Linked DNA regions of Drosophila melanogaster. The protein of the gene in region 1 interacts with the protein of each later gene in a pairwise test. Each region holds a gene or a part of one and is shown in the gene's direction. Other genes may lie near its edges.

Region 1 (5,338 bases):
CAAATGGCGATCAAGATCGCGATGTTTGCGTGGCCTGTTATGAGTCAATCAGACGCCTGCCTACATTGTCACCATCACTTGGTTCGGATACGATCGCTGTACCGCCGGATGACTGCAGCGCTGGCTGGGATGCCTGCAGCGCCGATTGAAGATGGCTAGATGGGCGCTGGAGATTGTTGCGATTGCATCATAAAATTTAACTGCACAGCCAGCCAATTCCAGGTCCAAAGAGCCGAGTCAAAGTCATTGCATAAATTGGCAGCACTGCCGTGCAGAAGCTGCTGTTTCTATCGATGGGATGGGATGGGATAGGATGGGATGTTTCTGGCATGGGATCTGTGTGTCTTCATGGTTCTTATAAGGCGCCGCCTGGGCAAAAAGGGGTAGCCCCATATGCTCCTCCATTCAGATGTCCACTTGGCCGAGATGTTTATGAGTTGACGAGGACAGGGAGGCCGCCCTACCGGTGGGTCCTTCTCTCATAATTCTCATAATTTCTAAGGTGACACACACTCTGCATGGGCTGGAAGGATGGTTTACTGAGCGAAAGACATGAAAAGTGCCGCCAGGCTTAATTTTTTGAGACGCGGCATAGCTGCATGTCTGCGGAGATCTTCTTCACCAGAGGAGTAATCTCCTTGAAGGACTTGTTGTTCTTGTCCCCCAGCAGATTAAATATCACACTCTCGGAAGTTGCTATGTTGCAGCCAATGTGACGCAGGCGCTCCAAGGCCAAGTCCCGATCCTGATTGTGACGCGACGCACAGCAGTCGGCCACCAGCCAGACATCGATTTCATCATTTACCAGGTCGAAGGCCGTCTGCTCCACACAGACGTGTGTCTAAATCATGTGGAAGCGGGGTCATTTTGCTAAACCAATCCCTAACTCAAGCCATAACCCACCTCCAGACCGAAAAGCACCACCGTCTTGGGCTTGCCACCGAAGATATCAGTCATACTCTTACGTACCGGCTCCACCAGCATAGAGAACATGGTCTTGGAAATATTGGCACAGGCATGCTTGATGTCCAACTCACAAACGGTCTTGCCCAGCCTCTCGGGATACTGCTCGGTGACCAGCAGTGGCACTTGGAAGACCTTGCCGGCTGCCAGCTGGAATGTGAATCCATTAGAACCCGACCATTATCCTGTCACTTCTCGCTGTCTCACCAGTTTAGTAGTGTTTTCGATGAGCGAACTTAGCAGCGGAATGGCCGGCTTGAACTTCTCCTGCACGTCGCACAGCATGAAGAGCGTTTTCGAGGGCACCAGGCGGTACAAAGCTGGTCCTCTGACTTTGCTCATGATTGATTCTGGGTGTGTAATAATGCGTAAATGAAATATTTGAAAACTTAAGGCAAACGGTTGCTCCGTTTGAATTTGGCGCTTGGCTAGCGCCACCTAGGGACTACTTCACGAACTTTCTACTTCACCAAAGTGGCGGGATGGTGAGTTATGGCTTAAACAAATATACTTGCTGTATATAACTGGAAAGTAACCAAAAGTAACAAAATGATAATAGGTCCGAGTTTGCCTGAAAATGCTTCCTATAGCCGTAAGATTTACAAAAGTTGCAAACAAAACAGCTAAATCAGGCTTGTTGTGGAACGGGAAGATTTTGGTATTCTATGCGGAAAAAGAGGAGACCACACTGCCCGCACTAGCATTCGTAAATCAAAAATTAAAAATAAATCAAGTAACAAAACGTGCGCGTTGCCGATGCGATAACCGCGAGCACCGATTCCTGATTTTTGATTTCGCTCCCCGGAAGCCACCAGTACCACCTGGTGTTGGGAGTCATTCAGCTGCTACACAGCTGCGAAAGGTTAGCTTGCGGCAACCACCAGTTGCCCCCAAATTCACCAAAACTGCTGATGGTTATGGTGATGGGGATAGTGATGACTGCCCAATCCCTTCCTCCCGACGCACTCCATCTGGCGGTTTATTGGCACAGGACCAGCGGACAAGTCGCTGTCACGCTGCGGCCCAACTAATTGCAGTCGCATTAATTAAGGCACACTCAAAATTGCCCAATAACCGGCCGACAGATAAGCAGCGCGATTAATTTCTTGCCGGGCTACACTTGTCAGCAAGAAATTCAACGCGAGCGCCCAACGTTTATCAATGGGGCAAGCGGCGGAGGGAAGCCCCAGCCACCGATGTCCCCGACTCGAATTAATCGACGATGTCGCGGACGAGGTCCCCCCCCCCCCCTCCGCCAGACTGCCACGCCCTTGGCCAAGTACACTGCACGAAAAGGTGACACCCTGATCGATAGCATCTATTGAAGTTATGTTTAACTCGGTCTGTTGGCAATTGTTATTCGTCAGGATCACTCAAATTACATATAAGTGTACCATTCGTGGAAGTCGGACTGTGTTCTTTTTGTGTACCGCCTGCTCTACCGGCGCCATTCTCGGCACTCTCGCTCGTCTGCGAAACAAACTCTTCCGACGCCCCAACCGTGAGGCTCGTTCAGTTGCTAACCGATCCGTTTGCCTGGCAGTCGTTGTTAGGGAGCGTTTAAAGCTACGAATTTCAAACCGAAACCGAAACTGAAACTGATCGCCTTCGATTAATAACTGATTAGTTGGCAGCGATTCGCCCACTAGTGGTCCAAGTGGGTTGCCCGTCTCCCTGCTTCTTCCTCCAAAAAGTGCACACATTAATCGGTAACCCTTTCCAGTTTCAGCACAATCCCCTGGAGAGATGAGCCTGCAGTCGATCAAGTACTCGCGGGGCAGCCTGGAGATCCTCGACCAGCTGCTCCTGCCCGGTCAGTCAAAGTACGTGGTGGTGCGAGGAGTGGAGGATGGCTGGAAGGTCATCAACAAGATGCAGGTGAGAATGCCTAGGCCAGCGCCTTTTCCTGCCTCCCTTAATAGTCCACGTTCCCCGGCATATTGCCATTAAAATGCCTGTTGGTACATTTCCTAATCTGCGCAACGATCGCTTGCTTGTCTCTTGTCGCTTGTCGTATGTCCCTTGCCCGGCTATAAATAACGTAATTGAAATTAAAAATTTAAAAACGCTTGCCAAAAATAAAACTACTCCGCGCACGTCACTTGGCGATCGGTTCCCACTGGGCTAATGCCCCAACAAGAAGATGATGGCCCATGGCCCATTGGTGGCCGATCGTTTATGTGTGAGCACGCGCCTTGTCACGTGGAGCCTCGCCGTTTTCCATGTAAGCTATTTACTCCGCCTTTTGCATCGTCATCTGATAAGCCAAGATAGGCTGACCCACCTAATCTGTCTGCTCTTCGCTCTTGTTTATGAATAACGACAATATAGCAGCGAAATTATTGCCCCAACGGTCTCATTTGAGACATGACAACAGCATGACAGCCTGATATTTTAAATATTCTCATTTAGCATCTTGATTGATCACGACTATTAATGGGTACTCGTTTCATATAGTCATGAAAAGTGGGTGCGTTTAAGGGACCATTAAAAATAAAACAAGCAATTTAAACTAATATTTTTGACTCTTTGAAGGTGCGTGGTGCTCCGGCCATCGCTATCGTTGGCTGCCTCTCCCTGGCCGTGGAAATCAACCCGGAGGATTTTGAGAACAAGAAATCACTGCGGCAGGAGATTGAGGGAAAGTTGAACTATTTGGTTTCCGCCAGGCCTACGGCGGTCAACATGAAGATCGCAGCCGACGAGCTCATCACCCTGGCCAACGAACTTTACAAGGACGAGGCAATCGACGTGACCCAAATGAAGCATAGGTAACCTCCTTACTGGGCTACGAGACGAGCACACAAAGTTAACCCCCTTCTGTTTAAGATTTCTGGACGCGACCGAAGCTATGCTAAAAAAAGACATTGCCGATAACCGTGCCATTGGAGCGAATGGAGCCCAGGCGATCCTACAGGGCGTGGCGAAGGCAGGTAAAGCGCCCGCTGGATCGACGGGATCCGTCCGGGTGCTTACCCACTGCAACACGGGTTCCCTGGCCACCGCCGGGTACGGTACAGCTCTGGGAGTGGTCCGCCAACTGGCCGAGCTGGGAAAACTGGGTGAGTACTTAATAGAGTTTGGTACATTTATTGATTACTTACGCACTTTTGCACTTTTCGCTCTAGAGCACGTTTATTGCACAGAGACTCGTCCTTACAATCAGGGAGCCCGCCTCACAGCCTACGAACTGGTCCACGAGAAATTCCCCGCCACTCTGGTTCTGGATAGCATGGTGGCGGCTCTGCTGCGGGCCAAAAATGTGGCTGCTGTGGTTGTAGGAGCAGATCGTGTAAGTAAGCCTCTTAATGATTAACTATTTTCGATTAATGGTTTCTTCCCTTCCTTAGGTGGCCTCCAATGGCGACACGGCCAACAAGATTGGTACCTACCAGATTGCCGTGGTTGCCAAGCACCACGACGTGCCATTTTACGTAGCCGCCCCTCTGACTTCCATCGATCTAGCGATTCCCGGAGGCGATCACATCATCATTGAGGAGCGTCCCGACCGGGAAATGACGCACGTGGGAGAGCACCGCATCGCTGCCCCGGGCATTAACTGCTGGAACCCCGCCTTCGATGTGACCCCTGCCTCTCTGATCACAGGCATCATCACGGAACGCGGTGTCTTCAAGCCGGCGGAACTGAAAGAGGCCATCACTAAGTTGCTAGAGTCCTAACCGGCGCACAGAAGTAGTTTACACATGCACTCCATACCCCCAAAAAAAGAAACCGCAGAAACCAGAGCACGCGCGCTCGGAATAGGCATTTTGCCAGCTGAGTTTTGTATACAAACGTTTTCCCGCCTGCCAAGCAGATGTGGGTCGATCCGTTGGGAAGCACAACGCACAATATACCTCCTACACATGTAGCCCCATTTGCCAGTTGTTACCCTACTGGCGCATTGTTCCATTGACTTTAAAACTGGTTGCGATTTGGGTGTGCTCCACCAGAAGGGGCTGAATGGGCGATGGCTTCGTTCCGGTTTCAATTGTTGCAGCTCCTAGTGGTTCTCAGCCAAGGTTGGGCCAACCTCAACGTGCAGAACAACTATAGAAACATGATGGTCCGACTGGCCACTAACAAGGCAGCGCTCGCCGGTATTCAAGTCCTCCGCGAGGGACGCGTGGAGGTGAGCTTTGACTTTGGCGCCTCATGGGGTACGATCTGCAGCACTTCGTGGAGCATGCGGGAGGCAAATGTGGTGTGCCGACAGCTAGGATTGGGCTACGCTTCCAAGGCAAGCCAGGGAACGGAGCACGGGGATAGCCGGAAGTATCCCTGGGGCATGGTGGGCACTCTGTGCAGGGGAACCGAGCGTCGCCTAGCCGACTGCATCCGGGAGTCCCACTACCCGAACCTCTGCAATGCCAGA
Region 2 (4,856 bases), about 15 Mb from region 1:
ATGCGCTGCGTATTTAGGTACACAATAAAAGCGGCTAAGATGTGGGCACCAAACCCACTGTAACCTATGTCCAGTTGCCTCTGACGCAACCATACTTTAAGGAGCAGCAGGCCGTCCTGAAAATTACGCCTGCTCTTAAAGGCCTTATCCAATTGAGCCTGGTTCTCGGACAAAGTTAGATCAAACAGTACGTTTGCGTTGTAGTGTTGGGTGGAGGGCAGCGGATCTTTCTCGTCCCATTCGTCACCGTAAAACGAGGGCCGAATATTGTTGTTCCAGGGAACAAATCTGCCTGGCTTAAAACTGCTTAATGGGGCAGTGATGAACAGACGCACTTGCAGGTGCTTGTTTACTTGCTTAGTAACTGGGATCAATTCCAGAACCGGCTTAAGCGGGTTGTTAGCATAGTAGTTGAAATTAAACTGATCTTCTGCATAATCTGGGGACTCCATCATCCTCTCCGTCACATAAGTAAGATACAAAGCTCGCTTCTGGTCATAGCGAAGGTTTAGGTAATCTTCTTTGTGCAGGGATTCTTTTGGCATCTCCAGGGCCACATCCACTACAATTTTGGGACCCAGCAAAGTGCCCGTGGCGGCGGCTCCGATCAGATAAGGTTCCCTGGTGGGCTTGGAGAAAACAAATCCGGTCGGCTTTTCAGAAAGCTTCATTGGAACTTCCAAGTGGGTACGCTCCATCAAGCCATCCTTTAGCTGTCGGGTAAAGGCCGTAAAGGATTCAAGCCAGTTTTCAATGAAATCTGTGTATTTCTGCTTTAACTGCAGCTCCTCCAGCATTTCCTTAACTTGAAGCTTAAAGAGATTGGAGTGGAAGAGATTTTGGGTGTCTCGTAGCTCCTTCATCTCCTCCAAAGTGGGCGGCTTTACATTCTTGGTACCTTCTCTCTGCTTGAAGTTGTTCTTCTTTGGTATGGCAGTGGATGGTGGGTCGCTCTTGGCGATTTTGGGTTTTGGTTCATCAAGGTCGCTGTGATCCCCGGCATGTGCAATTGCTTGGGTACCTGTTCGAGCAGCTCCCTTCGGAGAGCCCACCTAAACAAAGTATGTTATAGGCCAAATAGTTTCCATAAAGATCTAGACAATCTTACCAACTTTCCTGGCATGATGTTTCCCTGTACAAATCGCATATAATATAAAATTTATTTACTTGTTGGAGAGAGAGCTAAACTCGCACGTGTTGCAGATGCGGTATTTCAGAATTCGGTATTTCATTAGAGGTTTTTGTATGGTCACCCTAGAACTGGGCAGATTCGTTTTTTAGTCCCAAATCAGCCGCAAAAACAGTGTCGAACGTAATTATAATTAAAATATTGAAAAGGTTTTATACACTAAATAAATTAGAGCAAAATATATTGCATGGTACACAGTTGTTGAATAAGTTACAAATTTAGACAATGTGAAGTGTAAATGTCTATACCAATTGCCGAGAAATCCTTGGATCCAGGACCAATAAATAAGATAAAATTTATAATATTATAAAAACAAATTATCAGTTAAACGCGAAAGATATTACCGTGGGCCTATACAGTTTTAAAGAGTAGATAAACAAATTTACCGGCTAATTGGTTTCGCCAGCAACAGTATTTTAAACAGTATTTTTATTTCATAATTATGTTTAAACATCTTTTATGTAAAGAGGGCTTTAGGTAAGTTCTGTCTTTAGCACAAGTATATAAGTATCTGTTTAAAATAAACGGGAAAAGCTAATTAAATTATCCCATTTTTCTTTTACCAGTAATCAGCATTAAATCAGCCTAGAGTATTTCCCTCGTTTTTCTATACGGTCTTACTCCGTCTCTGTCCATGTATAAGCGTGTGTGTGTGTGTTTGCAGGCAGGGGAAAAAATCGCACCATTTTTCTCGTGCTCTCTTGCGTGCGTTTTTTGGTCTTTCGAGGATTGTTTCGTAGAAAATCAGTTAAACACAAGCCCAGCTTAATTTATAAAAAGTAGTGAACTAAGTTGTTATCCAGAAATCGACGAGCGCACAGTAGCAAATCGAGTTGCAAATTTCAATATTCGGTCCGAACGTGTGTAACTGTGTCTGTGCGTGCGTGCGTGCGTGTGAGAGTGTATGGGTGAAAAATGAGGCGTAATGAAAATGCGTGCAAAACTGTATAAAAGGTAAATCGGCAGTTAAAAGTTGCCTAATTAATAAAGCCCACAAGTCGTTCATTCCGTAAAGATCAAAGCAAACCTTATAAAATGATGCGTTGGCAGAAAGGAGGCCCATTGAAAAAAATATGGCCAAAAGTCGAGTAGTTACACCCTCTCTGCCTCTTTGCCCCTCTGCCTTTCTTGGTTTTCTCTCTCTTATTCTCTTTGGGTCTTTGGCCATCGCCGCCTTGGCTCGTTTTTTGCATCGAATAACAAAACTTGAAAATTTATAAAAATAAACGAAATCACGTACGGAAATATTTACTTCGACCTTGCGGCCCCAGAGATTTTTCCAACAATTTATACGGCGCGGTGGCCATGGCAGCTAATTAGCCTAATTTTCTGTAATTTTCTAAATTTTAATTTGGTACCTTTTAGAAGAGAGTAACTTTCATTTGTGCGACGATGACTTTAAAAGTTTTAAGTTAAAGTCAATAGTAACTCTTACTAAATTAAATGAAAATCAATTGAAAAAAAAAAACAAATTTAGTTAGCGCTCTCATCAGTGCTTTTAGTGTGACCAGCATACGCTATGGCTGGCCTAACATACCAAAAGAAATACCGCAGTTTCGTACATTCATTAGTCTATTTACTATTTTTATTATCCATACAGAATGAAAAATGTTTAAATCGTCGGTAATATGAGTTTTTTTATATTTTGTATCAGTTAACATGATCTTTCGTCAAAACATTCAAAGCGCTTGGAATTAAGACCGATCTTTACGTTTACAATTTTGTTTATTCAGCTCTTTTACAATTGCTTTAACTTTTCCATTCTTATTTTTCAGATTGCTTTGATTTCCACGATCGTGAGCATTAAAAGTTTAGGCGTGATACTGACCGGTTAAATTTCCCTTAATTGAAATTTAACTACATATTTAAACAGCAACATAGTCCCTTTTGCCTAAAATGTCATCAAAAACTGGGAGGAAAAATATCATAGCAACAATCTGAATGAATTCGGAGATTCAGATCTGTTGTCACAAAAATTGTTGGATAAAATGTGCGAAAGTGTGTTTGTCAAATTGTTTAGCCAAAATTATTTGTTTACATAGTTGTTCAGCGTAGCACGAGGCTGTTTTCCTTAATTCTTAACAACATAGATACACTCGCCTTGGCTAATTTACACCGGAACCTAAAGCCGATTAACAATAGGAAAATAGTCCTACGACAAATAGCCCGCCTTTTGACATATGAACACATAACTAAACTACCACACAGCTCACCAAAAACATAAAATAAATTCGGAAAGTATAGCACCAAAGCTGAAATTTCAAGGAGATGCTGCTCAAATTTCATACTTGATGTCAAACAACGACGACCCCATAGCAACAACAACAACAACAGCAGAAAGAGAAGGAAAAGGAACAACTGGAATAACTGTAAGCTAGCGAACAGAGGGAGAGAGGCAATCTCTGTACACACACCTGTCGTCCAGCGGGGGAAAGAGCAAAAGAGAGCGACGGATCTCCCGTGTGTGTTGTTCGCATGCGCGACATGCGCGGACGCTAAGTGAGTGTGAGTGAGTGCGCGAATGCGTGTGAGTGTGGGCGGTGAGGATAATTCGCTCAATTCGCACGCATCCCACAGATCCTGCAGATCCTCCAGTTTGTTCGTCAAACAGAGTCAGCATTTCGGATCAAACCAGTTGCCTGTCAGCAACATTAACAGCCTCAACGTTGGAAAAAAAAAAACAAAAGCAGCAGCGGCAGTCGATAAAAAAATCATTATCAAAATTACGGAAAAGCGATCAAAATTCAAGCGAGATTAGCTAGGCGAAATGCAGCGACGAGAACGGCAAGCAAGGTGAGTTATGATTGTGTAATTGTATATCGATTATCCCCCAAATTCATAAAGAGGTAATGGTTCTAAGACTCTTTCAAAAATTAAAAATTAATCCTACCATTTAAGTTGGCATTGCTTTTGGCTACAGTATTGAAACCCATTTATAGTTTTCTATTGTCAATCGAAAATCAAGATAAGCGAATCTAGCCCACTGGCTTTATCCCTGCTTTTGAATCTGAATCTTTTGTACGCCCCTTAGCTATACCTTCCAACTCCAAGCGGTACTCAAATTTTGACTAGAGACCATAGGCTTGCGACTATTTATAATTTTGCATTGATAAGCCGTGCTAAAAAACCATTGCCACTATCTACGGAAGCGACGTCTGTTCTCATAAATGTTCCATATTCGGTACTACAGTACACTGTTATCAGGCGTAGAAGCGGTTGGATATTTTGATAGCGATAAGATTATGGCTGTGTCGGGAAACGCGTGTTTGCAAGTTTTAAAACCTAACAGTTTTGATTTGGTTGGCTTAGTTAACCAATAGAACTAGCTTTTCTTTCACTCATAAAACTTTTTAAAATATTAACGAATGCAAACTGCGAATTTTTAAAGAAAATGAGTCTGGTTTAAAATAATTTTATTTCGTTTAACATAAATAAATTTCCATAAAGCTAATTCCTTTTAATTTCCTAGCGAATACTGTACATTGTCAAAAGTTCAAGCAACAGATTTAGTTGTAGCTGCCTTTTTTGCCGAACGATTTTATTTTTAGCAAAGAGATGTTTCTATTTAAACTTGTGTGTTTGATTTTATTTTATTTTCGCAAGTGTTTTTGTTGCTTTTGGCTTATGGCGTCTGCTTTTTCTCGCCTCTGGCACGCCAGCCAAACTA

Evidence for each region. Proteins that work in one complex are often made in the same cells at the same time.
Region 2: the proteins of CG11334 (region 1) and gish interact in a two-hybrid assay, tested with the Drosophila melanogaster proteins (one large-scale study listed by BioGRID).

What each region holds. Positions count from the first base shown.
Region 1 is NT_033777.3:31,459,317-31,464,654, reverse strand, and holds CG11334 (uncharacterized protein), read left to right. Parts: upstream 1-1,617; 5' UTR 1,618-1,825; intron 1,826-2,187; exon of another isoform or gene 2,188-2,259; intron 2,260-2,476; exon of another isoform or gene 2,477-2,620; intron 2,621-2,686; 5' UTR 2,687-2,709; coding exon 2,710-2,841; intron 2,842-3,498; coding exon 3,499-3,734; intron 3,735-3,792; coding exon 3,793-4,025; intron 4,026-4,091; coding exon 4,092-4,255; intron 4,256-4,313; coding exon 4,314-4,643; 3' UTR 4,644-4,833; downstream 4,834-5,338. Other genes in the region: CG11333 (uncharacterized protein), read right to left, coding at 572-841, 904-1,113, 1,171-1,305; Loxl1 (lysyl oxidase-like 1), read left to right, coding at 4,934-5,338. UniProt on the Drosophila melanogaster protein: Catalyzes the interconversion of methylthioribose-1-phosphate (MTR-1-P) into methylthioribulose-1-phosphate (MTRu-1-P).
Region 2 is NT_033777.3:16,271,188-16,276,043, forward strand, and holds the start of gish (gilgamesh), read left to right. Parts: upstream 1-1,813; 5' UTR 1,814-2,143; intron 2,144-2,964; 5' UTR 2,965-3,956; coding exon 3,957-3,982; intron 3,983-4,856. Other genes in the region: Mat89Ba (maternal transcript 89Ba), read right to left, coding at 1-1,052, 1,109-1,147.